Linked DNA regions of Alligator mississippiensis. The protein of the gene in region 2 interacts with the protein of the main gene of each other region in a pairwise test. Links are inferred from orthologs where the notes say so. Each region holds a gene or a part of one and is shown on either strand. Other genes may lie near its edges. The genes, in order: SLN, TMEM79, RNF8 and pulmonary surfactant-associated protein C.

Region 1 (6,553 bases), on a different chromosome or scaffold from region 2:
GCGCTGCCTTGTTGCTCCTCTGGCTGTTACACTCCAGTGCTCTTGTGCTGCTGCCATCCCTGGGGACAGCTGCAGTCAGGCAAAGATTAGAGCAGTTCTGAGGGTGCTGTAAAATGTTACAACTGGAGCTGAACCATGTCTCTCCTCCTGCCAGGCTAGCCCCAGAGCTGGAACCCAAGCCCAATATCTGAAATGCAGTCATGTAGCAACAGCAGCTGTAAAGCAGAGGCTCTCTCTTTTGCAGAATCCATGCCATACATAATAGACTAGCTATGACTATTCTCTGGATGTTTTATTAGGAAAGTGGATCTGGATCAGCTCGTGCGGTATTGGTGTGGATACCAGTAGCAAGGCCAGATGATTTCCAGTGTGATTCAGCAGTAGCTAACTGGACATGTCTTTTTACAAGCCACCAAATTTCTGTGTCAGCTGCATGTTATTAATGAGGGTAATATGCCGTATCAGTCATTTAAAAGATGGAGGAAGAGATAACGAGAGCTACAAAACATGGTTTTACATCTTCTCCTTTATTCAAGAGAGCACAACAGTGAATGAAAGAAAAGTTTCCACTTTCTTTCAGCTAAGTTAGTTTGTGCCTTTTTTGTTTCAGTTTATGAAGACACATACTGAATATTACAGTCTTGTACCACGGTGAGCCTGGTGGTGATACCAAAGAGGTAAGCATTGTGGGTCAGTGTATTACATTTGCAGTAACTACTGGGAGTCATATGTAGCAACTACTGAGGACCCTGCCTTGTCCATTTTACAGCTGGGTCACTACAGAATATAATAATTACATCATCATAGACCCATTAAAACACCTATCAGCACAAGCAACAGAAGCGTGAGAGTAAAAAAATCATTACATTATCAAATATAAAGGAAGTCACACTGTTGTACAGGAGGTGTTACATACTTCTGCAGAGATGCATGCTTAAATGAATTTAAGGAGCATGAGATTGTCTTTTACTCCTGATAAGATTTCACTAGAAGCCACATGAGAAGCACAGTTATCAGGACAATCATGAAGTTAAGGAAGAGTTCTTGTGTGGATCGTTCCATTTTTGGGAATATTCAGGGGAAGACTGGAGGTCAATAGCTGAAGTAAAGGGAAAACTTCAGAGACTCCTCCCGGAGTCCTTGAGCTTAGCCTTCAGGTCACAGCCTCTCCTAAAGAAAACATGAACAACATGGATACATGAATGTAGGAAGCTTGACAAAGCTATTTATATTATATAAGCAAATGTTATTTCATTGCTAAAAGTTAGTATGAGCTGCAGAAGCTAAAATGCAAAAAGCATCTCTAACAGCTTATCACCTCCTTTGATTACCACTGTTTGACAAGACATGTTCTCAGTGTCACTCTGAAATACATTTCACATGACAAGTAGACATAGAAAGGGAGCAATGACAGTTATTTTTTATACAAACCCCAAACTTATTATTTTGAAGAGCAGTATACTTAAAATACCATTATTAAAAATAATAGTGAAATATAGTTTCACAGATTTAAAAATAGATTGGGTGGAAAATGTTCATGGATATGCAAAGCTTAAGCTCTTATATTTCTCATTCTTTATATTTTTAATATTATTTTTACTTTAATACTGCAAGTGTAACTTAAGAGAACCACCAGACTCGGCCTTTTTGAACTGCTTGGAAGAGAAATCAAGTCTGAGGATTTATGTTCTACTAAAACCATAGGAAGGACCAGGGTTATATATTTTTGTTTCTGAAAAACATCATAAAATTTGTGAACAAATCCTATTAAATGAAATAAGATTTTCTCATGGTCATTCTGAACTTCCAAGTTGCTATGGTTTTTGTATAGTAATGTTATTCATGCTACATTAAAAAACTTTGCCTCAGCTACAGCTTGATTTATTCCATCACAGCAAGTTAAGTTTTTTGTATGCATCTCTGAACACACAGAGAAATGTTAGCATGTGTAATGAATAGTACACCACTTAATACTATTCGTATGTCAAAAAAGAACAGTGTTTAAAGAAAGGAGAGAGAAGCTCTAGGCAAGAAAAAAATATGCAGCCATACAAACAAATCTTAAAGAAAAGGGTAAATTAGAATAGGACATTTAAGATGAAAATAAGAGAAGCCTTGATATAGCATAATGAAGACAGAAGGGTTTAATCGGAAACTGTCTTAGTTCACCTTGTAAACTATTAAAAGCCTAGTGCATGCACTTATGCAAATTTCAGCATCCCCATGTTGTTCTGTCAGCTTTATATTTTATTTTTGCAATGGAAAATCCAGACTTAATAAAGTAATCCATGATTTTACCTTAAGAAGACAAATGGAACCCAGTATTTCAGCCTCTGGGACCCTAGGTCAATGCAGATATTATTTCTTCCTCAGCTTCTGCCTATCTCCCAATGCAATCTGGATTCCCAATCTCTGTGTTGGAACTAAAGTAGTCAAGAGGGAGGAGAGCAACAAGTGTTTTGGCAACTAAAATGATGACATCACCAGCTAAGTAAAAGGGGCTAAGCTGGGCAGCAGGATTCAGTTAAGGCTATTTATGCAATGGGGTTTATGGATAGATTTACATATTAACATTTTCTTTCTTCTTAGCATGAGCTGTTAGGGATATGCATAAACCCTTTGGATCCAATGGAATTTTACAAAGATTTATTTTGTGCTTGGAATTAATCAGTTTATAGCTTCATCCTTAATGAAAAAAAGGGTGCTTGACACGGTCCACATTTAATTTTCAGGATCCGTACAAGACAATTTTCAGTCTTTAAAAAACTGTATGGGGTCCAGATTGCATAGTTTACTTTACAAGCACAGGCACCTGTTGCTGTCTTACTTTCTTATTATAGTCTCTGAAGCTTCTCGTGTTCATATACATTTAATCTGAGAGAGACCACTGGAGCAAAATATTCTTTGCACTGGATATGCAATAATTAAATACAATATTATTTACTGGTGAAAGTGTTTTGAGATCAAACTACTGTAAATCAGGATCAACTGCATTAGATAGGTACCATTTACCTCGTCACTTGGATTCTGCCTACTAGCCCAGTGCCCGTCTGTGGCTTAGTATAACCTTCCAAACCCCTGAGCATGCAGTAGAAAGCTGCTTCACTAATTGTAGACTTTCTCCCTAATGACGCTGCTCAGAGGTCTTGACAATTGATAGTGTTGTCCAGCCCCTGGGCATCTGTATAATGGATACACAGTGACAGAGCTGTTAGAACACAGCATTTGTCTCGGGTAAACTTGAAAGAGAATAGAAAAGTATTACATTGTACAGAACATTGAATTCTACCTGCCCTACTGCGCCTGGTTTTACTACATCTCTGCTTATGCAGAATAAGCTGAATATTTCCATTTGGCATCAGTGTATCTTCTTCTGGAATGAAGCATCATGAGCAAAAGAACCAGAGTCTGATTCAAATATTTTGGGCTTGGGTTGTAATAGGGAATATATGACAAACTGCCAGCTAGCATAACATTTGCAGTGTCCAAATTAGGCACCTAATCTTTCTACACAATGGATGAGGTGACTAAGGTACCCAAGATTTAGATTCACAGATGCCAAGAAGGTGTGTGTGGCGAGGGGGAGGGGAACTGCCTTAACTAGCCATTAGGAAATGCTGAGGTGAGGGGTGAGGCTTCTATTGTGCCACTATCAGGGAGCTGTGTGCCTCATTTTGGACTGCAAACATATTCTTCCTACTAACTGGGCTTCACTATCACAGTGTCTCTCCTGAGCTTAGATACCTACACTCTTTCTTTCAGAGGGAGTGATGACACCCTTGCTCTCCCATCTAGGATGTGTGAAACCCAGGTTCAAATCCCTCCTCTACCTGTGGGTATTTGAACCGATGTCTCCCAGGAGAGTGTCCCAAGTGCCTACTATGGCCTGCTTTTGGATGAAATTTTCTCAAGGCCTAGGAGATGTAACAAAAGAGACTGATACAAGCTGTGATGGCTGCAAGATTCTGTAGTGATACCAGTATAGCAAAACCGTGCCAACTCAAATCCTGCTTTATTTGGGGTCAAAGGTGGGGCAGTTTAGCTCACTTCTATCACTACAGGATCATACATTTGTACCATTCAGATTGCAACAGCTGCTCTGTACTCATGAGCAGCAGCTCTTCCCCCCTTTTACAGTGGCTAAAATGTACTTTGTTTGTCCATATGACCTCTTGAGGTCCCTTCCAACCCTAACTTTCTATGATGCTATAACCTCAGGCTATATGATAATGTGGGATAAGGAGCTGTTCCATTTTTCTAGGACCAGCTAATTATTCATTGGGCCAGGGGAAAAAAGGGTTGCTTCATGGCTGGGGCACTCCCCTGGGGAGATGGAAACATGGTTCCCTGTTGCAATGACTGTTTTCATGTAAAATATTTAATGACAAATATTAAAATAGTCATCGGAGCTGAGACTGGAATCCAGCCATTTCCCCCTCCCAACCTTAGTCACTAGAAAACAGAGATGCTCTCTCTCGCCTCTGCCATCTGGCCCAGTTAACATATAATGAATGAATATAATTGTGGAAAGTGGAGCAGCTTCAGCGGGAGAGACCAAAAGCTCCTCATCCCACAATATTGTATAACAAGGTGGTTAGGACACTCTACTGGGAAATGAGAGATTGGGCTCAAACCTCTAAGGCAGGGGAAGGACTTATGGATCTTGCCATGCTGGGATAATACTCTAACACTGAGGTGGCCAGCCTCCAGCATGGGTGTCACAAGTAGTGCAGGCAGCCTGTTTGGGACATGCAGCACAGTGGCAGACAGGGCAGGGAACAGAAAGCAGAGCAGCAGATTGGGTAAGGGAGAGGGATTGAAGTGGCACTGGGGTATCATAGTATCATAGTGCTTAGGGTCGGAAGGGACCTAAACAGATCATCAGGTCCAACCCCCTTTCCCGGGCAGGAACGAGTGCTGGAGTCATATCACCCCAGCCAAATCTCTATCCAGACTCCTCCTGAAGACCCCCAAGTAGGAGAGAGTACCACCTCCCTTGGGAGCCAATTGCAGAGCTTGGCAGCCCAAACTGTAAAGTAATGTCTCCTGATGTCCAGCCTGAACCTTCTCTAGAGCAATTTGTGGCCATTATTCCTAGTAACCCTGGGTGGTGCCCGGGGGAACAGAGTCTCACCCAATTTCCACTGGCCCCCCTGGTGAGTCTGTAAATGGCCACCGAGATTTAGTGAATAAGAGCTGATGGTCTTTACTTTCATTTCCAAGCACTACGTGCTACTGGTTATACAAGCAGCTTTTCAGTTCCAATGCCATTGTGCTTGTAAATTCACAATCTGAATTTTCATTAACATGCCCCTTTTGCATGTTATACCTATTGAGTATTCCTAGTTTGTTTTCCATAATTCAGGGGCATTATTTCAGACCGCGTGATACAATTTCATCCCAGCCACACAATGACCCACCAGCCCAGCCCACAGGAAAGAATAAGGATGTAAGATGCATAAACTTCAGCCTCTATGAAGCAAAGCCAAATCCCCTTAGCCTTCTCTTGTGGGGGATGAATAGATTCAGGCCCTTTAGTCTCTCTTCATACCCACTGCCCCTTGACCATGTGAGTGGCCCTCCTCTGGACCCTCTCAATGCTAGCCACATCCCTCTTGAAGTGTGGCACCCGGAACTGGACACAGTACTCCACCTGTGGCCTGACCAACCTGCATATAGGGGAAGGATCACCTCCCTGGACCTGCTTCTGATGCATCTGTAGATGCACGACAAGGTGCGGTTAGCCTTCCTGACTGCTTCCTCACATTGGCGGCTCATGTCCATCCTGGAGTCAACAATGACTCCAAGATCCCTTTCTGTCACCGTGTTGACAAGAAGGGTGTTCCCCAGCCTATAGGTGTGTTGCTGGTTCCATCTCCCTAGATGCAGTACCCTGCACTTGTCCGCATTGAATTCCATCCTATTCTCATCCGCCCACCTCTGTACCCTGTCTAGATCTCGTTGGATTCTGTCCCTCCCCTCCAGCGTGCTTACCTCACCCCACATCTTAGTGTTGTCAGCAAATTTGGACAGCATGCATTCCAAACCCACATCCAGGTCGCTGATAAAGATGTTGAACAGTACAGGCCCCAGGACCAAGCCTTGGGGAACTCCACAGCCCACATCCCTCCAGGGCAAAAACAACCCATCCACCACCACTCACTGGGTGCGACCATCTAGCCAATTTGTCACCCATCTGACTGCATAGGCATCAATGCCGCAGTCACCTAGTTTTTTTGAGAGAATGTGGTAAGAAACCATGTCAAAGGTCTTCTTAAAGCCCTCTGGCTCTCCAGAGACCTAGCAGACCTCCTGAGGCTAAAAAGATAGGCCTACAAAGGATGGAGGAAAGGGAGTCACCTCCAAGGAGGATTATTCTGCACTGGTCCGGTCCTGTAGGGAGCAGACCAGGAAAGCCAAGGCTGCAACTGAACTCCAGCTAGCTTTGAGCATCAAGGACAATAAAAAGTCCTTTTTCAGATATGTGGGGAGCCAGAGGAAAAGCAGGGGCAACATTGGACCCCTGCTGAACCAGATGGGGCAACTGACAACT
Region 2 (7,671 bases):
GAGAGTCGGGGTGGAGGTCAGGAGACCAAACAGGGCTAGGGGTGCAGGAGGTGTGGTCCCCACCCCTCCCTTGTCTCCTGCTTGACTGTGAACCCAAAGTGTGTCACAGCAGGTCAGTAGTTGCAGGGGAGACCACATAGGTGGGTTTTGCCAAGGGGGTGCTCTGCCTCCCCACATCAGCAGGGTGAAGGGGGCCTGGCAGCTTGAGTAATGCTCTAAGGGGCGTTTCCTCTCTCAGTTTTGCAGCAGACTCTGTAGGCAAAGGTCCCTTGAACCCTCCCTGACCCACCTGGAGCCCAGAGGAGGGGCCCGCACCTCACCTGGAGATGGCGAAGAGCCCTGTGAGCAAGGGGATGAGCTTCAGGGCCTCCTGGGGCAGGTAGGTAGCCAGCACGGCGAGGTTGAAGAAGTAGAGGATGAAGAGATGCACGGACTGGGCAACATAGCCGCGGTGGATCTCCACCTCCCGCCGTAGTTCCCCGAAGGGCTGCAGCGCCGAGAAGCAGAGGCGCGAGATGCCATACACAATCATCCCTGCAGAGAGAGTGGGGTGAGGCCAGGGAGGAGAAGAACCTGGGACACAGACAGACAGACGAGGCTGTGTGGGCTGGGGGAGGTGGGCAGAAAGGGAGAGAGGTGTGAGTGGATGGACACATGGATGATGCCCAGGGCGAGAAAGAGATGGAAACCTCCTTGCATAGACACTCCTCTTGGAATCTGCTCCAGCACTGACCCACCCTTGCACTCCTTTTCCTCACTCCCCCCTATTATTCCCATTGTACACATGGGCACTGGAAAGGCTGAAGGATGTGCCTGAGGTTGCTTGGTGCATCAGTGGCAGAGAGCCTACCTCTGCAGCTGCCACCCTGTTGAGTAGATGATTCATGATGTGGTCAGAGCAGCTAGGTGTCCCAATCCCGGACCTTGGCCTGGCTGTGCTAGGAGCTGTACAAACCCAGACTGAAAGTGTCCTAATTGCTGCACCACCCAGCCTTCCTCTGAGTCAGAGGAGCTGCTCTCAGGCCCAGACAAGGGAGAACACCAGGACGCTGGTGGTTGGGAGCTAGGGACCCCTCACCCCCTGTTAGACTGTACTGGGACCCAGAGAGCTCCCAGAGACCTGGCTCACCGAGGATGATGGGGAAGGTGGCAAAGGTGCCACAGCGAAGGGTGTAGACCAGCCGGATGCTCATGCTGGGCATTGGGGGGGCATCGAAGGGCAGGAAGACGTAGGCCCCGTACACGAAGCAGGGGTAGAGGATCATGGCCGCCACCGTGGAGGCCACGGCTTTGAGGTTGGCCTTGCTGCAGCTGGAGCACGGTGGGCATCCGCTGGGCACCCCGGGCTGCTCCTTGCTGTAGTGCCTGGGGCTGCAGGGCACGAAGAGCTGCTTCTCAGAGCTGCTGGTGTCTTTTTGGGTGCTTTCGCCATGCCGAGGCACTGGCTGTTTCCAGGCGCTGGTCCCTGCTGAGCTGCAGCGCCCGGGCGTCCGCTCGATGCAGCAGGTATCGATGGGGATGAACATGTGAACTGCCTTCTCTGGCATCTGATTGACTTCATCCTCTGTCTGCTCCTTCAGTGGGGCAGGACTGAGGAAAGCCTTGGCCTCTCCAGGACACTCCAACTCAGTGCCTTCCTGGATCCCCTCCGGGCTCGGCCTCCGCTGTCCCTTGGACTCTGCCTTAGCCAGGGCTGGGGGCTCCCCAGTCTCCTTATACCCGGAGCCGCACTGGGACTGGTCCCAAGGCAGGGTGGTGTCGGGGTCCCCCGGCTGGTGGTTCCCCAGGGACACCCCCTCTTCCACCGTGGCACTGGGGGCCAGAGGCTTCAGCTCTATCAGGGTCATCTCTTGCATGCAAGTCACGGGGTCGATGGCCATCATCTTGGTGCTGTGGGCAGCTGGCCGCCGAGGCCGGTGTGACAAGGGTCACCTCTGTCGGCTTTGTCCTTTGCTGTTTTCACCCTGCTGTGGAACAGACACGCAGACCTGGCCATCGCACCCAAGCCCCCAAGATGCACCCATTGTATAAAGCCTTGATTTCAACCCCTCCTGTGCTCCATCCTTTACAGGCTGGAGGCCCTGAGAGAAGCCCAATGCTTCACCCAAGGCCGCCAAGTGAATCTGTGGCAGAGCCAGGCAAAGAACCCGGGTGTCCTGGCTTCCAGTCACCCTCCTGTGCCATGTACAGCCCCCACAAGGTTTTGCTCTCCAGGCCTCAGCACCAGTCGGACAGAGAAAGCCACGCAGGGAGCAGTGAGTTCCCCAAAAGGGGTTGGACTCCAGGAAGGACAAGGAAGAGCTCTGAGATCAGGCCATGTGCTGTGCAGACATGCACCGGTTGCACAATGCCCTGCTACCAGGATCTCCAATCTCCGAAATGAACTGGGATTCGCCTTGAATTGAGTGGGGGGAGGTAGGCCTATCCTTCCCATGCCCCTGGGGGGAACAAGGGGTTAATGGCTCTGAACACAGCTAGATAACAGAGCCGGAGCTGAAGCCAAGCAATTCCCCTGAGACAGCTCTGGGGATCTGACCGCAATGGCACAGGGAAGTCTAGGCAGGAAGAGTTCCATGTGGGACATGGGGTTGAGAGGAAGGGCTCCCAAATAAACACGAGGTAGCAGAGCTGGGGCCTTGCCCATGATATATCAGCGCATGCCTGGCTGCTCAGGCAAAGAAGGGTGGGATCGCCACCCCCATTTCACAGGAGGAGAAACTGGGGCATGGAGCAAGGCAGTGACAGGGCAGTAGCAGAGCAGGGGACACAGCCTAGAGCCCTGCTTGGCATGTCTCACCCTCCCCAGCCCCCACCTGACCCTGTCCTGGTCCCGGGTGGCACCCCGGCTCCCCTAACTCCAGCAGGGGAGCTCAGAGCTGTGCTCCCCCAGCACTGTCACCTACCGGCCAGGCGCTGGGCGCTCTGTGGGGCCATGAAGGAACAGGCAGCTGGTGAACCGGTGCGGAGCCAAAGGCTCTAGAGTTCTGCTCCTTCGCCTGGACTTCAAACCTGTTTAACCAGCAACACAGGGGCCGGGATTAAAGGGGTGGGGGCAGGCCTGCCTCACCCAATTGGGCACTGCCTCGGCTGGCAGAAGAGGGTACGTCCCATGGGAGGGGAGTACATACCTACGTGTACACACACACACATGTGTGTGTGTATGCATGACTGTGAGTGTTTCTATGCATGTGTATTTGTGAGAGTTTGCATATATACCTATGTAGGTGTGTGCGCATGACTGAGTGTGAGTTTGTATGTGTATGTATGTATGTGTGTGCTTGTGAGTGTGCATATGTGTGTGCATTTGTATGTGTGTCCACTGATTGTGTGTGTGTGTGCATGATTGTGACTGATTTTGTGTGTATGTGTACGTAGGTACACGGGAAAGAGTGTATATATTTGTTAGTGAGCATGTGTGTGATATTGCATGTGGCTTATTCTCCTCTTGTGCATACATTTTTGTGTGGTGTACATGTTGTGGGTGGCATTATGGTATGTTAGGGTATACGCCTGTATTTTGTTCTATATGTTTCAGGTGCATATTTTTGATGCACTTTAGTATGTCTGGGCCTGTGAGAGTACATATTGTATGTACTTCAATGTGGAGTTCGTGTGCAATAACTAGGATGCACGTGTGTGTGAATATGGGACTGTCATGTTTTGGTAGCCATGTTGGTCTGAGACAAAAAGAAATGCAAAAATCTGGAAGTCTTGGTTCAGAGATGATGCCTTTTATTAGACCAACTGAGAAATTGCAAAAAAAAAAAGATCTTTTTCTGCAAGCTTTCGGGATTCAGCTTCCTCTGTGCAAAAATTAAGTTTATTTCTTATCTATGGGGACTTTTTACCATCTTTAATTTTCCCTGAGCCTGATAAAGGGTGTTTGAGCCCGAAAGCTTGCAGAAAAAGTAATTTTTTGTGATTTCTCTGTTGGTCTAATAAAAGGGATCATCTCTGAACCAAGAGTTCTAGAGTTTTGCATTTCCTTTTGAATACGGGGCATGCAGGTGCGTGTTTACATGTCTGTGTAGGGGGGTGTTGTGAGTGATGGGTGAACAGGGAACATGTATGGTGATCTCGCTGTCAGCACGTGTGCTCCTTTGGGCATGCACAAGGGGTGCATTTGGGACAATGTGGCACGTGCAAGCAGACGTGCAAGGACAGACCCAGCGCTGACCTGCGTGGCCCTCTCTGAGATCAATGTTTCGTTTGCACAGCAGACTGGCGGGCACAGGGGCTCTGCGCAGTGACTTCCCACCTGGCTCTGAACAAACTTGGAATTTGTACTCGTCCTAAGCCTCCCACAGAGGGGGAGAGGTGGTGGATCCCAGCCAGCCGGGAAAAGGTCATTTTCTACCTAAAATTGACCAAAATAAAACGACCTTTCCAGGGAAGTGCATTAAGGTGGAGGCCGACTGTATTAGCAGCCCCTCTGCAAAACCAGCCCCACATGATGAGATCTAATTCACCTGATTAATGCCCTTAATTAAACCTCCCAGAAAAGGAAGGGAATTCACCAAGGAAGCTAATCTTCACTCACTCCCTAATGTGTCCGCACAGCCCTGCCTGGTGGGTAGGACTTGGACTTCACTCGGAAAGGGCTGCACCCATTGATTTGAACAGTTTTCATTGTTTCAATGTGTGTCTCAATTTCTTTACCTTTGATCCATCTCCCAGGCACCATCTACGTTAAACCTCCATGGGTCAGGGGAGTGGAAAGCCTCACAGCTAGGGTTGCCAACTCTGCTTGACTCTATTCCAGGAGGTTTCATTACATGACGTAATGACGTTAATGACTTTATATCAGGAAGGCAGATGCACATGGCTATTTCATTTTTAAAACCAACTATATACTACTATATAAATAGTACTACTATATAAATATAAATATACTACTATACAAATAGTAGTGTCCTGGACTACTATATAAATCGGATTCAACATGTAATATTTATTTCAATGCATGCCCTATCATTTATCTCCCGGGTGACTCTCAGCAGTCTCCTGGAGATTGATATCTAATTCCTGGAGACTCCCGGGCAATCCTGGAGGGTTGGTGACCCTGCTCACAACCCAGAGAAGATGAGCTGAAGTTTTCTTAGCGTGGTGGGATTTTTACCATAGGTATTTGTGGATGTGGTGGGCCCTGTGCCAAGGCAATCCCCACCTCAAAGCCCCTAGCATCTTAACAATCAAGGCAGGCAGGGAACAGACATGAATTTTGGGTGGTAAAGCAGACTGCTGGGAGAATGAAGAAGATGGAGCTCTAGGGTCAAGTTCTTTGGGGTTATTTGGGGGTATAAAGAGGCAGCTAAATGCTTTGTTAAAAATCCAGCCACCTACATAGGAAAGACCTAGGCTCCCCTTTAAAAGCCTGATCTCCTGGATCCCAGCCCAGTGCCTGCTCCTCTGCCTTGAATACCTCGGGCACCTCAAGCTCTGCCTCGCTCATCAAACACCTATCGCTGTTTTACCAACTCGTTATAAAAACATGCCTTTCATTGCTGGACTAGAGCCCGGGGCTCGACTGGCGTTCAGGGCTTGAGCCACTTTACGGCCCGACTGCTATCCAAGTCAGTGCAACAGGCTTGGTTTCCCAGGACCAAGTATACCCTCTTGTTGCCATGGGGTAAATCAGGAGCGAGTCCCTGGGTGGCAGCAGGTTTAAAGCAGGGTTGAGAGAGGAGAAGCCAGATGCAGCCTGGCTCGGGGGCAGTGAATGTGGATGTGAACGGGATGCCCAGCACCGAGGGATTGCAGAAGAGGCGGCAAGCCTAAAAAAATCAGGAGATTTGCAAAGAAAATGGGGCTCCTTTCCCTGTGCCCCCTGGCTTCTGAGCCTGTGGGTTGGCTTCAGGGCAAGGTTTTACGCTAGTCTCTGCAATTAAGACCCTAGAATGTGACTTTGGACAAAGGGTGAGAGTCTCACTTGACTCCAGTCGCTGGAGCATGAAAAAGAAAGACCCAAAAGCCAGAGCTTCCTATTTTGTCTGACGAACAAAGCCTCCAATAAAGTTTATTTGAACCGCAAGTGAAGCCGGGAGGCGGCCATGCTGCCAGCACTAAGTCCTGGCCGTCGGCGAGCCTTGGGAGGGAGGCGGTTAGGAGGCCCGCTCTCGCGAGGCTGAGCGGTGGGATCTCGCGCGCTGAAGCCGAGCCGCCTGCCCTGTTGCCAGCCGCGTGCGGAGCGGCGCGGCGCGGGGGCCGAGCTCTCGCGAGGCTTCGGGGGCGAAATCTCGCGTGGCGCGGGCGGGGGGCAGCGCCGCGCAGCGATGGCGGCCGCGAGGGGCCGGCGGGCGCGCGGGGGGGCGGCGGCGGCGGCGGAGCGGGGCGCGTGCGGGCGCTGCTGAGGGGCGGCAGCCGCTGGGCCCGGCCCCCCCCCGCCGGGCGCCATGAGCCAGGGCAGCGGCGCTCCCGGCGAGAGCGGCGAGCCCGAGGCCAAGGTGCTGCACACCAAGCGGCTGTACCGGTGAGAAGCGGGGGGCGGGGCTGGGAGCGGGGGTCTGGGAGCCGGGGGGGTTGGAGGGGAGGGCGGCGAGGCTGTGGGGAAGGGGGCCTGGAGACGAGCGGATGTCGGGGCTGGGCTGGGCTGGACGAGGGGGCATCTGGAGGGCGGGCTGTGAAGAAGGGGGCGAGGGGCTGGGCTGCAGCGGGGGGGGGGGGACGAGGCCGTGGGAAAAGGTGGGGGGGGCGTTGGGAGCTGAAAGCTGGGCTGGGGGGTCTGGAGCAGAGGGGATGTCGGGGCTGGGCTGTGGAGGATAGTGGGGGGGGGAGGGTTTAGGGCTGCAGGGGCTGATGTGATGGGAAGAGAGTCAGGAGAGGGGAAGGGGGGTCATGGGGTCTTCTGGAGGAGGATCTGGCCAGGGAGTGATGGGGGCTGGGGTGTGATGGGGAAGGGGAGATGGGAAGGAGGTTGAGGGGGCTGAGGTGGGGTGGGACGGACAGGCTGTGCGGGGTGGAGGGCTGGGTGTACGGGGGTGAGAAGGGATGTATGGGGGCAGAAGGGAGAGGGTGAGTGGAAGCGGCAGGGAGGTGGAGAGGGCTGTCCTCTTGCCCCTCCCTCACTTGTGCCGTGGCAGATGGGGCAAGCTGCAGAGCTGGGCTCTACGCCCCTTTCATCATCAGCCCTCTGAGGAGAGGGAAACGGCTAAATCCTTGCGAGTCTCTAGATGCCGGGGGTCCCCGGGGGCCGGTACAGCGGGAGGATGCTGAACTTGCGTGGCTCTTAAGGGACCACGTCTTCCTCGGTGGCCTGGCAGCACATCGGGGCCGCAGTTCTGGCTGGGGGCCCTGGCACTCCCCCAGCACCGCTCCCGAGCTCTGCTCTGCTTCCCGAGCCTCCTGCTGTTCCATTTTCACTGAAATCTCTGCATTGTGCAGCAAAACTGACGACAGAAGACGTGATTCGGGGAATAATTATGGTTCTGATCAAGGTGCTCTGCTGCGATCCCTGTGAGCAGAGCACTGCCATGTGCTGTCATCCCCCTGCTTTGAAGAACACCCCTAGGGACAGGGAATCCTCTCTCCTGGGCTCTCTTCCTATCCTAATTTGCTCTGAGCCTGTAGCACAGTCATCCCTTTCTTCATCGTTTTCCTCCAGCTAAGAAACATGGACAGTAACCCAGAGTGGCAGGGGTGGGGATAGCTCAGGGCAAGAAGGATTATCTTGCA
Region 3 (7,574 bases), on a different chromosome or scaffold from region 2:
GTTCTCCCCACACCCCTGCTGGCTACCCGTGCAGCCTCCCCCCCCCTGCAGAGGGATGCTCTCTTTTTTGATCCTGGAAATATAGTAACCCTAACCTTGTTGTCTTTGACTGTCCACTGGCCTTCTTCATTCTGCTTGAAAACACAGTGGTTGCGAGAGATCATCAGCGGGCAGATTTTTGATACTAGCTGGTAGGTGAGACCAAGTCCTCGACCGATAGTTACCTAAAAATAAGAAGTTTAACAACAGACATTACCAATAATTGAGAATGGGTGCTCTATATGCTTTGATCTTAAATACAAGGAAAATGGTCACTGAATTTGTTTTGCACAGTGGAAATTAAAGCAGTAAACTGACCTTAACAAAAAGATTACTATTTATAAATTTAAACACAAGAAAGGTAACATGTTGATAAAGTTAAGTGCCAACAGTAAATGGAAGCCTTTGAAAAGTGGAAGTATTTGGGCCTTTTGGGGAAAAAAGAAACAATTTGCCGCCTCTGATACTGAAGACAATGACCATAAAAATAAAGAAGAACAAAGGCTTCAGAGGCTTCCAGATAACCACGTAGCTTCTAAGCGAGGGGTGGGCAAAATACAGTGCGTGGGCCGCGTGCGGCCCACCAGGCCATTTTATCTGGCCTGCGTGGCGCCTAAAAAATTTAGAAAATGAATATTTATCTGCCCCGGCTGCCTGTCATGTGGCCCTCAATGACTTGCCAAAACTCAGTAAATGGCCCTCTGCCCGAAATAATTGCCCACCCCTGTTCTAAGCTCCTCCTTCCTCTAAGGCAGTGATTCTCAAGCAGGGTGCCACAGCACCCTGGAGTGGCTTGAGATCCTTTCAAGGGTGCCACAGGATGCCACACTATGTTAGCACTGTTAGGTATGCAAACATGATTCACAAAATAAACCCAGAGATTTCAAACAGAAATCTTTAGTTGCGGTCTTTCTGAGCTCTTTGCAACAGAACTATTATTTTTCTGTAGTCAAAAAAGGAGTGAAGATCAAGAGCTGGCATCTTCGGAGGGGTGCCTCAAGACTATCCAGGAGTGCCTTGAGTCTAAAAAAGCTGAGACCCACTGCTGTAGGGCCTCTTACCTGAGAGATTACGCTTCAGGTAGAATCGGGAATTTATTCAGCTTTGCTCTTTAAATTTTTAGATTGCATTTTCTTTGCTGCTGTACTACAAGTACCTACTAGCCACTGCTGCCATTAACACCAGAAATTTAACCATGTACAATACTCCCTTGCCCAAGAGATCTCCCTGGGCATTCAAAATCATGTTTTAGTACCTGACAAGTCATATGTTTCTATTCTTCCTAAACTTCAAGAGTTACCTCAGCTAGAAGAATCAGCTGGTTTCCTGCCTGCCTCCTGTATCAGAAAATGAACTAAATTTCAACTGCAAGGGCAAATTCTACCGTTATATCTATGAAAAGCCATGGTGCCTTCAGTGGAGACTGCAGAGAAGTAACATTAAGGAAATTAGCTTTGCTGATGAAGATGAGCCTGGCAGAAAGAAACCAGCTTAATTTTCAGAGCCCACGCTGAGTTTGTAAGCGTGATTGGCGAACTACTTCGCACAAACACGGTAGAACCTTTTTGTATGAAGAGCAAATCAAATCGTAAACTGTGAGCTTCTGCATGCCTATCCAAATTTCCACTGATTAAGATTTCAAGAAAGGATTTTCTTGATTTGTAGCCCAGGTAAGTTATGAGACCTAAAACCATGCATTGCAATAAACTTACAAATATTGGCAGTTAGTTCTCTTCTCCTGCCTGCAGGCCAGATCAATGGCTCAAGGGTTGGACTCTAAGGATGCGTCCAGATGAGCATGCACATGCATTTCCTCGGGGACAAACAGCAGCGACATTTAGATGTTCGGGAGGGGCCACCAGGGTTTCAGTGGCAGCAATCCATACGTGCAGAGGAGCCTAGCCAGCAGCCAGAGTAGGGTTCTGATCATCCAGGCTCTGTTTTTGTGTGGCGCACGCTGCAGCCACATGCCCTGCTCCACTTTTTATTGGTGTGGGTTTTTTTGACACTGGGATCTCCTGTTCTCAAAAAAACCTCTGCAAATTAGCAGTACTATGAACATCTGTATGTGTGGTGCATGTGGTATGTGGCGCCGCTGAAGGGTCTGTGGAACAACAAACCGCACACGTGCGCTTGTCTGGACGCATCCGTAGGCCCTTGGTATATATACACATTACATATATTACACAATCAACTGGTTAACTAAACAATAAATTTAGACCGGCCACAAGTGGAAAGTAATGATCACACAATTAACTGGTTAACTGCACCCTATATTTAGGTCACCTCAAGACTCATCAATGAGTCGTAGCAGAAATCATCCTCAAATCGAGGGGCTGCCCCTGCCACCAGCAGCGTAATTACAGGTGACAAATTACGGGTGCATAGACGTGGCGACGACAGAGCTGGTACACATTTCCAAGCACTAACTTCATAAGCGGTTGGCTCTCTTCAGAGCCAGAGAGTCACTGTCAGAGCATGGCATGACTTTGCACATGTGGCCGGTCAACATTTGCTGCACGACACACCGGTGAATGACATAATATAATGTAACAGGTACCAGGGGCCTTAGACTACCAAAGCCGGGAGTGGGGTGGGGAGGGGAGCGAAAGGCTGGCTCTCCCACCTACCTGACACAGCAAGCGCGAGCCTACCTCAAATCAACATAAAACTCCTCCCTTCCCTTCCCTTCCCTTCCCTTCCCTTCCCTTCCTCCTCCACTCCCCCGGTGGTCGAAGCCCCCCTGGCCCGCGCACCTCAGCGCCGCCCCGCAGCAGCAGCCACTGCTCGTGCTGGCCGAGGCGCCTCAGACACCAGCACCGGCCACCACACTCCGCCATCCCGCCCCGCAGGCAGGACCAATCGCTCCCCTAGGAGAGGTGGGGAGGGGCCTCCGCGCGACTGGGGGCCGCGGCGCATGCGCAGGGGGGCGGCCAGGTGGAACAATGGATGGCCGAGCTAGGAAGAGCGGCGGTGGCAGGGGCTGTTGGGAGTGCGGTGCTCGCGCATGCGCCCGCAGCTGTCCGCAAGATGGCGGGGCTGTTGCGGGGCTTGCGCGGGGCGGGTCGGGGCTGCGCTTGGCGCTGCGGGTATCGCCGCCCGTGCTGCTCCGCCGCCGCCGGCCCGGGCCCCGCCGCGGGGCAGGTGCGTGAGGCCTTCCTGAGCTTCTTCCAGGGGCGGCATCGGCACCGCCGCCTGCCCTCCGCCTCGGTGCGGCCCCGCGGGGACCCCGCGCTGCTGTTCGTCAACGCGGGCATGAACCAGGTGTGTGCGCATGCGTGTTTGTATGAGCACACGCGTCTGCATCCTTTCCAGGGATGGCTACCTGCGTGCATGCACATGCGTGTGTTTGTGCGCACCTGCGTGTGTGTGAGAGTGCCTGGATGGGAGTGCATATACACGTGCAAGTGTGTGTCCATGTTCATGTATGTGTGTGTACATGTGTGTTCCCATGTGCGTCTGGATGGGAGTGCGTGTACACGTGCACGTGTGTGCAGCTGGTGTATCCTGTGCAGGGCCTACCCTGGTGAGGCCACCTGGAAGAGGCTTGTATCCCACACCTGCACCCACCCTTCACTCACGTTGTCAAGCAGGGCAGGGACTGGGCTGAGCCTGGGGGGTGCCTTTCCCATGCCCCAGCCAGGAGGCTGCAGGTCTCGTTCCCCTCCACAGTCATAGGGAAGTAGGGCTGAAAGCGGACCCCAGAGGTTATCTAGTGCAACCCCCTGCCTGAGGTAGGATCATCCCTGTCCAAACCATTCTGTACAAATCATAATCTAGCCTCTGCATGAATCTACCATCAGCCCTGACACAACACAGACCTAGCACCCTAACCTGCCCCAGGTAAAGCAGGGGAATCACAGCAGCCAACATCCTGCTTCTATTAAATGTTGCCAGTATACATTCAAGAGATCTTAGATAGCTACACCCCCTGCTAGAGGAAGGCAAAACCCCCCACAGTCCATACTGGTCTGGTCACAGGGGTAAAAGCCCTTCCTGACCCCAGATAGGATGATCGGTCTGACCCTGAGCAGAGGTTTAAAACCCTCTAGCCAGGAACCTCTGGATTTGGTCCCAGTGGGAGCATTGGCACACCCTGACCAAAGTCTTCAGCCTTAGCTATAGCCAATACGCAGTGCTTCTGGGAAGGCATAAAAGCACCCGTACACGTGTTATAGCAGACAAGGGGAGGGAGGGGGCAACCAGCAAAGCACAGGAAATGCCCATAGTAGTTATGCCTGGATCACCCCCGAGCAGTGTCCAACCTCTTGAAAACCTCTAGTGATGGGGAGTCCACAGCTTCCGTAGGGAGTCTGGTCCACTGTCTCACTAGTCTTGCAGTGAAGAAGTTTTTCTGGATGTCCAATCTCAACTCACTTTCTTGCAACTTGAAGCCATTGGTCCATGTCTTCTCTGCAGCAAGAGAAAACAGGTGCTTTCTCTGTTCTTCAGATATTTGGAGCAGTCCCCTGATGTGCTTCAGCTGTGATAAAACAGAGCCAGTTACTGAGCTGTCCCATCTGCCTATGTTGCAATTAGCCCTTAATTGCCCTAGGTGCCTTCCTCCTTGTTCAGAGTTGCCACAGCACAGTTGGAGTCCATTGTACCAGGCAGCGTCTGAAAATGTTTACACTTTTACATTGCTGTTCTAGTTCAAGCCCATCTTCCTGGGCACGGCAGATCCCCGGAGTGAGCTGGCCCAGTACCAGCGTGTGGTGAACAGCCAGAAGTGTGTGCGTGCTGGTGGGAAGCATAATGACCTGGAGGATGTGGGCAGAGACACTTACCATCACACCTTCTTTGAGATGTTGGGGAGCTGGTCTTTCGGGGATTACTTCAAGGTGAGATGCTAAAGCCAGAGGTAGGCAAAATATGGTTTGTGGGGCTGTATCTAGCCCACCAATTGACTCTGTCCAGTCTGTGGGTGGGTAGCAGCTCCAGCTCCGGCCTCTGGTGGCACCACATGTTGCTAGGTCGAAGCAACCCTGCCCACCAACCCGCCTGGCTCTGCCTCACTGTCAGGCCCCGGCACCCCTGCTCAGGCTGGGCTGGCGGTGCCCTGCCTGCCTGCAACATGGAGCTGGCAGGAACCCCGTTGGGTGCCAGGACCGTGTGGCAAAGGTAACCCAGTGCCTTCTGGTTCTGTCCCCACCTCTTCCCTTGCCCCATGCAGCACTGCAAGCCAGCCCAGCCATCTGCCTCTTGGCTGCAGCCAGCACAGCTCCTTCCTGTCCACCCAAGTGAGGCTGCTCCCAGCATGCTGGGGCTCCTCCTGGGGGAAGGGGAACCACCAGGCTGTGGGGGTGCAGCCTGCATGGCTCTAGCAGGGAGTTGGGGTGGGTTGGAGGGGGCTGCTGGGCTTCCCCAGGCTTTGTGAGAGAGCCAGTGTGGATGGAAAGGAGTGAGGGGCAGGCAAGCGGGTTTGAGGCTCAAGTAGCTCCTAAAGGGTGTGCCAGTGTGCATGCTGAGGCAGGAACTCCCTTGTGATTTGGGGGATGGCTGGGTGATGGCAGGGCTCTGGTGAGGGTGGGGGCATCCTCCCTTGGCCTAGTTTCCTGCTGACTGGTTTTGGTTCCCTTGAGAAAGACACTTTATTTTGAGCTATTACACAATCACATCTATGTACACTGCTAAAAAAAACCCCAAACAAATCAGGACAAAATTTATTCTTTGAAATAAAATTAAAATATTCCATAATGTTCGTTGTTTTTTTTAAGCATGTGATTTGGGTTTTTTTCTATGGTTTGTTAAAATGATATCTTCACCATTAATTTTACATGTGTGGCTCTCAACGGCTCACCAGAACTCACTAAGCAGCCCTCCAGCCAAAATAATTACCCACTCCTACACTAGAGCGTAAAATCCTCAGGGACAGGGGGTCTCTGCAAAGTGTCAGGTGCATCTTATGGCTCCAGAAACATAACTGTACCGGATACAGTCTCTTGGCTGCTTTGATGACTGCATGTTTCTCACAACACAGGCTACATTCTTTGTTGTGAGCTACATGGCTAAAATGGGTGTCTAACCAGGGAATGTGCTGAGCGTATGCGGGTGGTCTAAAATGATAACACCTTCACCAGCTGCCTAACTGTGTGTGTGTGTGTGTGTGTATAAAAAGACTACTGACGTATTAAATATTCTGTTAACTCTTACGTAGAAAAGGGGAGCAGTTTGTGGGGAGTGGAGGGGGGAAGGATGGGTGTTGGGTTACACCAGATAGGAGGCATGGAGTGATCCTTGTATAGAAGTACAAGCAACGCTAGGAAAATTTGGTGAACCTGTGGCTTTAACAATGTATCTCCGATGGGAGCACTGGGTGGCATGCTATCTATACAGAGCTCTTTCCTGCTACTGTGCAGGGAGTTAGAAGACACCTCAAGCGTCATCTAGTCCAACTCTCTGGTCCTGTGACTTCCTGAAGGTAATGGTGACTGGTTTCAGGTGCCTGGTGAACAGGTATCCACACTTCAGAAACCATCCTAGCAGCTGTCCCACTGTCCCCCTCCTTTGGTTGCTTGTTTTGCAGGCTGTGTGGGACCAAATGAACTGTGTGGGGGAAGGTAGGTCTGTCCTGTACCTGTCCCCTGGATAAGAAAAGGGTTCCAGCAGGGTAGGCACTCAGTTCAAAAAGGGAAAATGAAGGCTTGAACTGAGCTCTAGTGCCTCTAGTCAGTAAACTCCCCATTGAATAGGGAGTCACTCTCACTGATTCTCCAATTGACTTAGTGGGTGTAGGCACTGCTAGGTCACATTTAGGAAGCTGATAGTTTTCCACAGATGTCTGAAGGCCTGTCTTGCTTGCCTTGCTGCCTTCATGCTGTGTGATATGCTATCTTTCATAGATTTCATAAATGTTAGGGCTGGAAGGGACCTTGAAGATCATGAAGTCCAGCCCCCTGCCCCAGGGGCAGGAAGTCAGCTAGGGTCAAAGGATCCCAGCAAGATAAGCATCCAAACGTTTCTTGAATGAGTCCAGAGTAGGTGCCTGCACCACTTCTGAAGGGAGTCTATTCCAGGCCTTGGGGGCTTGGACAGTAAAGAAATTTTTTCCTTATGTCCAGCCTAAAACAGTCTTGGAGGAGTTTATGACTGTTGGTCCTTGTTTTTCCTTGGGGTGCTCTGGTGAACAGATGTTCTCCCAGATCCTGATGTACACCCCTTATACACTTATAAGCAGCCCCCGGGTTCCCCCTGAGCCTGCGCTTCTCCAGGCTGAAGAGTCCAGTGGCTCTCAGCCTCTCTTCATAAGGCCTATTCTCTTGCCCTCTGATCATGTGTGTGGCTCTCCTCTGGACTCTCTCAAGCTTATCCACATCCTTCTTGAATTGTGGAGCCCAGAATTGGATGCAGTACTCCAGCTGCGGCCTCACCAAGACTGAGTACAGCGGGAAGATGACATCCTGAGATTTATTTGAGAAGCATCTATAGATGCAAGCCAGAGTTTTGTTTGCTTTACCAGCTGCGACATCGCATTGGTGGCTTATGTTCATCTTGTGGTCAATCATGACCCCCAAGTCTCTTTCAGCCATGGTGCT
Region 4 (6,966 bases), on a different chromosome or scaffold from region 2:
TCAGTTTGTGGTAGCAAGGTCCCAGCTGAGACAGGGTACCCCACTGAGTGGGGTGTGGTACAGTGCAGCACAGCCCCTGCCTCGGGAGATTTTACTCTTAATAGACAAGGCAGATGAAAGAGCCCATGGCAGAGCAGGCTGGCGCTGAGCAGGTGGGTTGCTGGGCTTTTTATCAGTTACATAGAGACACACATTCAACTTGCTCCTTGCTGGCTCAATGCTGGAAGCTGAATGGTCAGGATGGGATTTGCTTGTGGCCAGGCTGGGGTTGGGTCGAGGGCTTGTTGCTTTTCCAGCTGGAGTGGGGGTATGTGCTGAAAAGGGAGGAAGTATGCTGCCAGCAGTGCTGCTTGTCCAGCTCCTGGGCAAACCCAGTGCCCCTCTTCACTGTGCTCACCCACCTGAGCAGCTGCTAGGCCCAGTAGATGGGAACATTGCTGCAGAGGATGTTGACAGTGGTGCCTAAAATGGAGCGGTCAGCCAGAGGCACAGGGAAGCCCTTGCTCTCCTTTTCCTTGCCCTGCTTGAGCTGCAACAAGAAATAATAAAATCAGACACATGTGGTTTCCCACCCATCAGTGGCACGGTGAGTTAGAGCCAGGCCTGGGGGCTACAACTCCTGGATGTAGCCAGGTCCAAACTGTGTGCTCAGGTCAGCTTTTCCTCTGGGGAATGCAATGCCCATGATGCTCCAAGGTGTCCTCCACGACCACTGCACTGCATTAGCAATGCTCCCCCAGTGCAAACACTGCTTTGCCATAATATTGAGCTTGCACGCATGTTGGAGGGGCAGCATTGTCCAGTAGTGGGGCCAGGGTGAAGGCTTCTGGGTCGTTTCCCCGCTAGCCATTTTTTTGACAGGTGACCTTGGTGAAGTAATTTTCCACCTCGGCTTCCAGTTTGCCTATTAGGAAAATGAATAGCTTCCCTCTGCTCTGCATGAGTGCGGGGCTGGATCGATTACCTTGGCACAGCCCTCCGAAAGCCCTGGACAGGTGCCACTGCACAAAAGCAGTTTATGCCATGCGTGCAGCCCCATATGGCTGCATTCAAGCCCTGTCTGTGGGGGTGGGCAGAGGGCTCTTGGGCTGCCCCGCAAGCTGCTCGGGGCCTGGGCTGCCTGGGCAGGGGCAGCAGGAATCCTCTGAATAGCCATGCAGCAGTGGAGTTGTGGGCCCCCCACATAGCCTGTTGCCTGCAAAGCTGGGTCCTGTATCCAGGACCCTGTTCCTCCCAAGGCAAGTGAACCAGGACTGTGCAGCTTGCCATCTCCCAAGTAACCAAAGAACATCCTGCATCCTCTGCAATGTGTTGGTCTTTCCTGGTGTCCTACCCTCAAGAGCCATCTGCCCTGTGCTCCCCTCCATACCCAGAAGGCCCACCTGGGTGCTCACCTGGTGATACTGGAATGCCTTGGTGATGGCGTCCAGGCCCTGGATGTTGTCCTTGTCAATCCTGGTAATGTAGCAGGCTTGGGCCAGCCAGGATCTGTAGCTGATGATCAGCTGTTTGCAGACAGAGCACATGTTGGCTTCAGCCCTGGTTTCCTTCATGGCAGCACCTCATTTGTGCTTACCAGAGCTGCATGGCTGCTTCCAGTGGTGCAGCCCCTTCCACCTTTTGGCATGCACATTGCCCATCTGTGCCTTGTTTCCTGCCTGCCACACATAGCCTACAAGTCCCTTACCCCTTCCATAGGCCTGTCCTTACCCTAACTCTTGCCCTTTCATTTGGACCAAAGGTGCACCTCCCTGTCTCTCTGCTGATCACACAACACTGAGCAGTATTATCTTGCACTCTCTTCCCCTGACGAGCGGTTTCTCCACATCCATCTTGGACTCCTTTGCTCAGTACTTCCAAGAGGCCCGTGGAGAGACAGCACTTGACATCAGCTTAGTGCTGGCCCCAAGCCACAGAACCCAGAGATCCAGGGGCAAGGGCATATTTACATCTGGGGGCTGTGGACTGAGCCTGTTAATGAAACACCAGCACTGTCTCAGTTCGGTCTTCATTCAGCGTCAGCACCTTGACTTGTGAGATCAGGGCATAGCATGGGCCCCTGGGTTGCAACCCACCTCAGTCTGACCTACCAGCTCCCACCCAGGCCCAGCTGCTTACTTTGTTGTAGTCATACACGACCATGGCAGAAGAGTTGATGCCTTCCTTGACATAGAAAGTCCCTGCTCGTTCCTTCCTGCTCATGGAGAGCTGCTGTGGGGACTCCTCCCCATCCTGGCCCTGGATGGTCATTCGCAACACCTGGAAGCCAAGAAAATCCTCAGAGTCAGGTCTGACCAGAGCTGGGAGACAGGTGGTCTGAAGCAGGACAGGCAATGGTGCATCAGACGCTTGCTTCCATTGCTTGAGGAGGCACCCGCAGTGTCTCCCCCCATCAGTCCTGCCAGCCTCATGCAAGCGGAGACATTAGCAAACCAGGCCCTTAGGTTGGCACAGCATCCAGCGTCGGTTGTTGCTAAGATGTTTCTGGGTTTTTTGGTTTCTTTGCTGGCCTTGCTAATCAAGCCCCATTCCTCTAACATCCTGCCACAAACCCCATTTGCACTTGCCCACAGCTCCACCTACTCTCTTTGTATACCTGTGTACATGGCAGAGCAGCCCCTTTGGCCACCCCCGAGCACTAGCACAGTGATGCATATATTTTTGCATGTGGGTAATGCCCCACTTACCGTTTCTGTGTGCTTCTCAGTGATGTGCAAGCCCAGCAGGAGGAAGCCCACGACCACCACAACCAGGAGCACGAGCACCACCACAACAATCAGGAGACACTTGACCTGGTGGGGAATGCAGGGAAGCCGAGGGGAGGCTGTGTACCTCTGGGGGAGCACAAGAGGAGAGAAGGTTAGCACTAGACATAAGAGGAACCAGGGTATGATCGCAGGAGATGGCCCTGGGTCAGGGGTTGATTCATCGAGGGTAAGGGTGTGAGGATGCTCCTTACCGGAGGCGCCTCTACCAGAGCCTCCTTGCTGCTAATGTCCATCTTTCCCCTTGTCCTGTAGTCTTCAGTTTTTCCAGTGTCCTGCCAGCTTCTGAAGAGCCTGTGGGTGGCAAGAGGCTTATATAGCGGATGCTGAGGAGCTGGAGAAGAGAGCGGCGCTGGGACTCTCCAGGTTCTCTGGCTCCAGGTCAGGAGTTCTTGCAGGCTATGTTTGCTCGGGGCCCTTCAGAGCCGGCTCCCAGATAAGCCCCTGGGAACCTGTTGGCTGAGAGTCTCTGAGGGCTCTTGGCCCTGGGGGCACTTGTACACGTTACGATTGGCTCCATGCTCTTTGTTGCCCCAGAAGATGTACTTGCAAGGAATATGAGGGCCAAAGCAAACCCACTCTGAGAGCCTGGTGCTGCCCTTGGGGTTGGAGTATTCCAGCCTGTCAGTATGGCCTGGCTCGGCACCCCAGGTCTCCCAGACAGCTCGGGCACCTGCAGGTGCTTCAGCTATTCAAAGGAAAAGCTGAAAATTAAGGGCCTTCCAGGCTGTGCAGATCCAAGCTCAGGTTCCCACTGCTTGCTGACTGGCCTGGTCTGGGCACTTCCCAATGTGCCAGCTGTCCCGAAGTGACGTCTGACCTCACTGCTAGGTGCCAGCCAACCTGTAGCCCAGCTCGAGGCTGCTCAGACCTTCACCTGCCTGCATTGCCTCCGACCCCACCTGCAGCTGCCTGTGAACCTTGGGAAGGAACAAAGAGGGACTGTGGTCGTGGCACGCCGTCTGCAACCTGTAAGCTGCTCATCCTGCAGGTCCAGAGTGTGCACGGAGCAGAGGCTAGGTGTTCGAACCCAGGCAGCACTTTTCAGTCTTTGTGATGGCTTTGCAGACTCTGGGTGCGTGCCAGCCCCTTCAGTGGCCTGGGGTATTCTCCTTGCTCAGTACAGGATGTTCTGTGCCCAGTCTTCCTGCTTCCTTGCAAAGTGCCCACCCTGGAGAAATCTGGATAGAGCAGAGCCCCATGCCAAACAAATGAAACTGCCTGGATCAACTGGACTTCACTGTTTCAGTGAAGCCCTGAGGGGGATTCTAGCTGGCAGCTCCCTCTACCCATCTCCCCTCTCCACCCGGGATCTAAGGGAAGACCCCCCAGGCTGGTATGCGGCTACTCCCCCCTTGCTCTGCCTTTGTTAAGCCCTGTGGTTCTTGTTTATTTGCTGCCAGCATCTCAGCCTCACTGCCCAGCTGCAGCGGGTAAGAATGCCCTCTATAGAGCCATCACTCATTGTTGGCTGGGAGAGAGCGGTGCCTGGGACGGCAGCTGAGACCCAGTTTTTGACTCATAAATTAGCCAGGAGCAGCTCCAGTATGGCTCCCCAGGGACAGGTCAGATAGGATGGGGGTGGGACAGTTAGGATGCAGGGGGCAAAGGGGAAGATTGGGGGTCTTGGTAGGGCACTGCAGACCCCAGTACCCAGAGGGGTGTGAAAGAATCAGGCTGGGGGCTCAGGCCAGGCTACAACTCTTGTGTCAAGCAGATGCAAACTCCCCTGTAATGATCTCAAACACATGTATGTGCATCGGTGTTCATGCACGCATATCTGGGGCATAGGCAGCCTGTGCACATACTAGCCAGGCAGTCGCACATCAACTCCCCAGCCCTCAGGAACCCAGTCCCAGCCCTCTGCAGCTCATGCTCATGCTCATGCTCACATGCATGCACAGCCTTGCACTCAGGCTCATACATTGCGTGCCATCCACACTGCCGGTGCCTTACATATACACACATACCTGTACAAGTGTTGTCACACTCACACACATGCATGTGTGCATTCCAGTATGCAAAATTGGCACGTGGAGACCCAAGCACAGGTCTGTCCAGTACACAAGCACCATGATGCCTGTCTGCACAGGAGCCCACGCATTATGTACACACATTCCTCCTGGCACGTGCGTTATTACACAGAATACATACACAACACACCTGCTCATGCACTGTTGTATGCTTTATGTGTGCACACACATGTACATTGTTGCCTGCTATATGCATGTGTACGTAATATGTCCACACACTCCCACCTGCACACGTCTTTGCCCAGAATATATACAAGACCCTAATACCTGCAGGAGAGCACCGTGATTGTGTGAAGTCTGCACACACACAGACACAGACACAGACACAGACATATGCACACACATATGGCTGCACACTGAATGTACATACATCCACATACATTTGGTTGCCTGGAGTTTCCACACACCTATGCATGTTCACTATTGCACGTGTGTGCATGTGTGTGGGCACACACACAGTCTCCCATGCACCAGATAGGAGCCCTTAGCAGTGAGATCACTTGGACGAATCATCCAGCAGCGGACATCTTCCATCCCCCTCCCACCCCGCTCCTCCAGTAGTCGAGTGTGGTGCTCTGCAGAGCAGCGTGATGGACTGTGGCATCCTTCCTGCCAGGATTGCTTCAGCTGAATATTAAAGTCACTCGGAGGGCTCAGGCTCAGGCTCAGCAGGAGGGAGGGAGGAAGGGAGGGAGGCACAGAAAGCCTGCACACTGCAGCTGCTGGGCTGAGGAGCAGAGCACGGAGAGGTGGGGAGGATTACACAGCAGGTTTGCGGGGAGCAGGAGCCCCAGCCCAAGGGGGGAGCCTTCTTCTGGAGGGGAGGAAGGCTGCTCCAGGGCAATGGCTGAGCTGCAGATAGGGAAAGTGGTGCCAAGGGGGCAAATCCTTGCCCTTCTACTCCTCGGCTTGGCCTGTCTCGGGCTGCCTGTGGGGGCTAAAAGGGGGCCCAAGCTGCCCCCCTGCCCCCGGAGCTGCTCCTGCACCCGTGACACCGCCTTCTGTGTGGACTCCAAGGCAGTGCCTCGCAATCTGCCCCCCGAGGTCATTTCCCTGTGAGTATCACTGGGGCTGGGTGCTGGGTGGGGGGACAGGGTTGGGCACAGTGGGGGATCTCTGGGTTGGGGGCTGAGAGCCATGGGGTGGGCTGGATTGAACTTGAGATAAAAAAGCTGAGGGCCCTGGATGCCACTGTAGGGTCTCTGCTGCTTGGGGTGACATCGGGATGGGGTTGTTGGGGCTTCGCTTGGGGATGACCCTCTGTGTGGGCAGCACGCAGTGTGTGCCTCACGTGGGCAGGACATAGGGGCTTGTTTGTGTCCAAAAGAACTCTGTGTGTGTGAACAGGAGCATCTCTCCGTGACCACACCAGGCGTCTTAGTGCAAGGTGTGTGTGTGCACGTGCGTGTGTGCACGCATTTCTCTTTGGTCATTTGAAGGGGCTGTGTGCGTCTCAGCGTGTGCATGTGTGCAGCTGTGTGTATGTGCACAACATCTATGTGAATCTTGAAAGCACACAGGATCTGTGCATATATGCAGGGCATGCATGTTGTCTAAGCATGTTATGTGCATATGAGCGTGCATGTGTGCATGCATGTAAGCATGAAGATGTGAGTGAACAACATCTAAGTTAGGAAATTAGTATCTGTGCATCTGTCCTTGTAAAGTATTAGAGTGTGTGTGTGTGTGTGTGTGTGTGTGTGTGTGTGTGTGTACATGCTACCAGGACACACTTTCCCTAATGTGTTGCCATCTCAGGGGACACTTTTCAATGCAGAAAACAGGCAGAGGATTCTTGTCACTGGTTTAGTTACTACAATAGACACAAAACCTTGCAATACACTTCTGATTCTTGCTGCCCTAGCAATCCCCGTGTGTGTGCATGTGCGTGTACATGTGCACCAACCTTTGCCTAGTGATATCTCCTGACCTGAGCATAAATATTAGCTCACCCCATGGACTCTAACCTAATGTAATTTAGGAAGCAAGATACTGAAGCTTGGCCTTTTAAGATTGCAGCCTGAGGGGCTTTGAAGTTGTGTGTGTGCGGAAGGAGGCATGTACTTGTGTTGGGCTTTTGGGCCTGTCTGCAGGCTGGCTGGTGACTGTGAATTGGGTTTTGCCTGCTGCGTGCATTTGGTGACTGTGCTGGTGCGTTCATAGTGCAC

Evidence for each region.
Region 1: the proteins of TMEM79 (region 2) and SLN interact in binary tests that used the Homo sapiens proteins (3 or more experiments, as listed by UniProt). The two-hybrid records come from large-scale screens. The link is inferred for Alligator mississippiensis from reciprocal best matches to the Homo sapiens genes TMEM79 and SLN.
Region 3: the proteins of TMEM79 (region 2) and RNF8 interact in binary tests that used the Homo sapiens proteins (3 or more experiments, as listed by UniProt). The two-hybrid records come from large-scale screens. The link is inferred for Alligator mississippiensis from reciprocal best matches to the Homo sapiens genes TMEM79 and RNF8.
Region 4: the proteins of TMEM79 (region 2) and pulmonary surfactant-associated protein C interact in binary tests that used the Homo sapiens proteins (3 or more experiments, as listed by UniProt). The two-hybrid records come from large-scale screens. The link is inferred for Alligator mississippiensis from reciprocal best matches to the Homo sapiens genes TMEM79 and SFTPC.

The regions. Positions count from the first base shown.
Region 1 is NC_081824.1:437,318,199-437,324,751, reverse strand, and holds SLN (sarcolipin), read right to left. Parts: upstream 2,459-6,553; 5' UTR 2,299-2,458; intron 1,171-2,298; 5' UTR 1,063-1,170; coding exon 967-1,062; 3' UTR 509-966; downstream 1-508. UniProt on the Homo sapiens protein: Reversibly inhibits the activity of ATP2A1/SERCA1 and ATP2A2/SERCA2 in sarcoplasmic reticulum by decreasing the apparent affinity of the ATPase for Ca(2+). Also inhibits the activity of ATP2A3/SERCA3.
Region 2 is NC_081838.1:17,491,877-17,499,547, reverse strand, and holds the start of TMEM79 (transmembrane protein 79), read right to left. Parts: upstream 3,009-7,671; 5' UTR 2,904-3,008; intron 1,968-2,903; 5' UTR 1,884-1,967; coding exon 1,130-1,883; intron 535-1,129; coding exon 321-534; intron 1-320. Other genes in the region: nonsense-mediated mRNA decay factor SMG5, read left to right, coding at 6,393-6,469.
Region 3 is NC_081824.1:169,948,555-169,956,128, reverse strand, and holds the start of RNF8 (E3 ubiquitin-protein ligase RNF8), read right to left. Parts: upstream 3,004-7,574; 5' UTR 2,880-3,003; coding exon 2,796-2,879; intron 225-2,795; coding exon 96-224; intron 1-95. Other genes in the region: AARS2 (alanine--tRNA ligase, mitochondrial), read left to right, coding at 3,070-3,303, 4,692-4,880. UniProt on the Homo sapiens protein: E3 ubiquitin-protein ligase that plays a key role in DNA damage signaling via 2 distinct roles: by mediating the 'Lys-63'-linked ubiquitination of histones H2A and H2AX and promoting the recruitment of DNA repair proteins at double-strand breaks (DSBs) sites, and by catalyzing 'Lys-48'-linked ubiquitination to remove target proteins from DNA damage sites.
Region 4 is NC_081830.1:21,484,331-21,491,296, reverse strand, and holds pulmonary surfactant-associated protein C, read right to left. Parts: upstream 3,002-6,966; coding exon 2,960-3,001; intron 2,835-2,959; coding exon 2,688-2,834; intron 2,260-2,687; coding exon 2,119-2,259; intron 1,506-2,118; coding exon 1,395-1,505; intron 530-1,394; coding exon 413-529; downstream 1-412. Other genes in the region: LGI3 (leucine-rich repeat LGI family member 3), read left to right, coding at 5,642-5,853. UniProt on the Homo sapiens protein: Pulmonary surfactant associated proteins promote alveolar stability by lowering the surface tension at the air-liquid interface in the peripheral air spaces.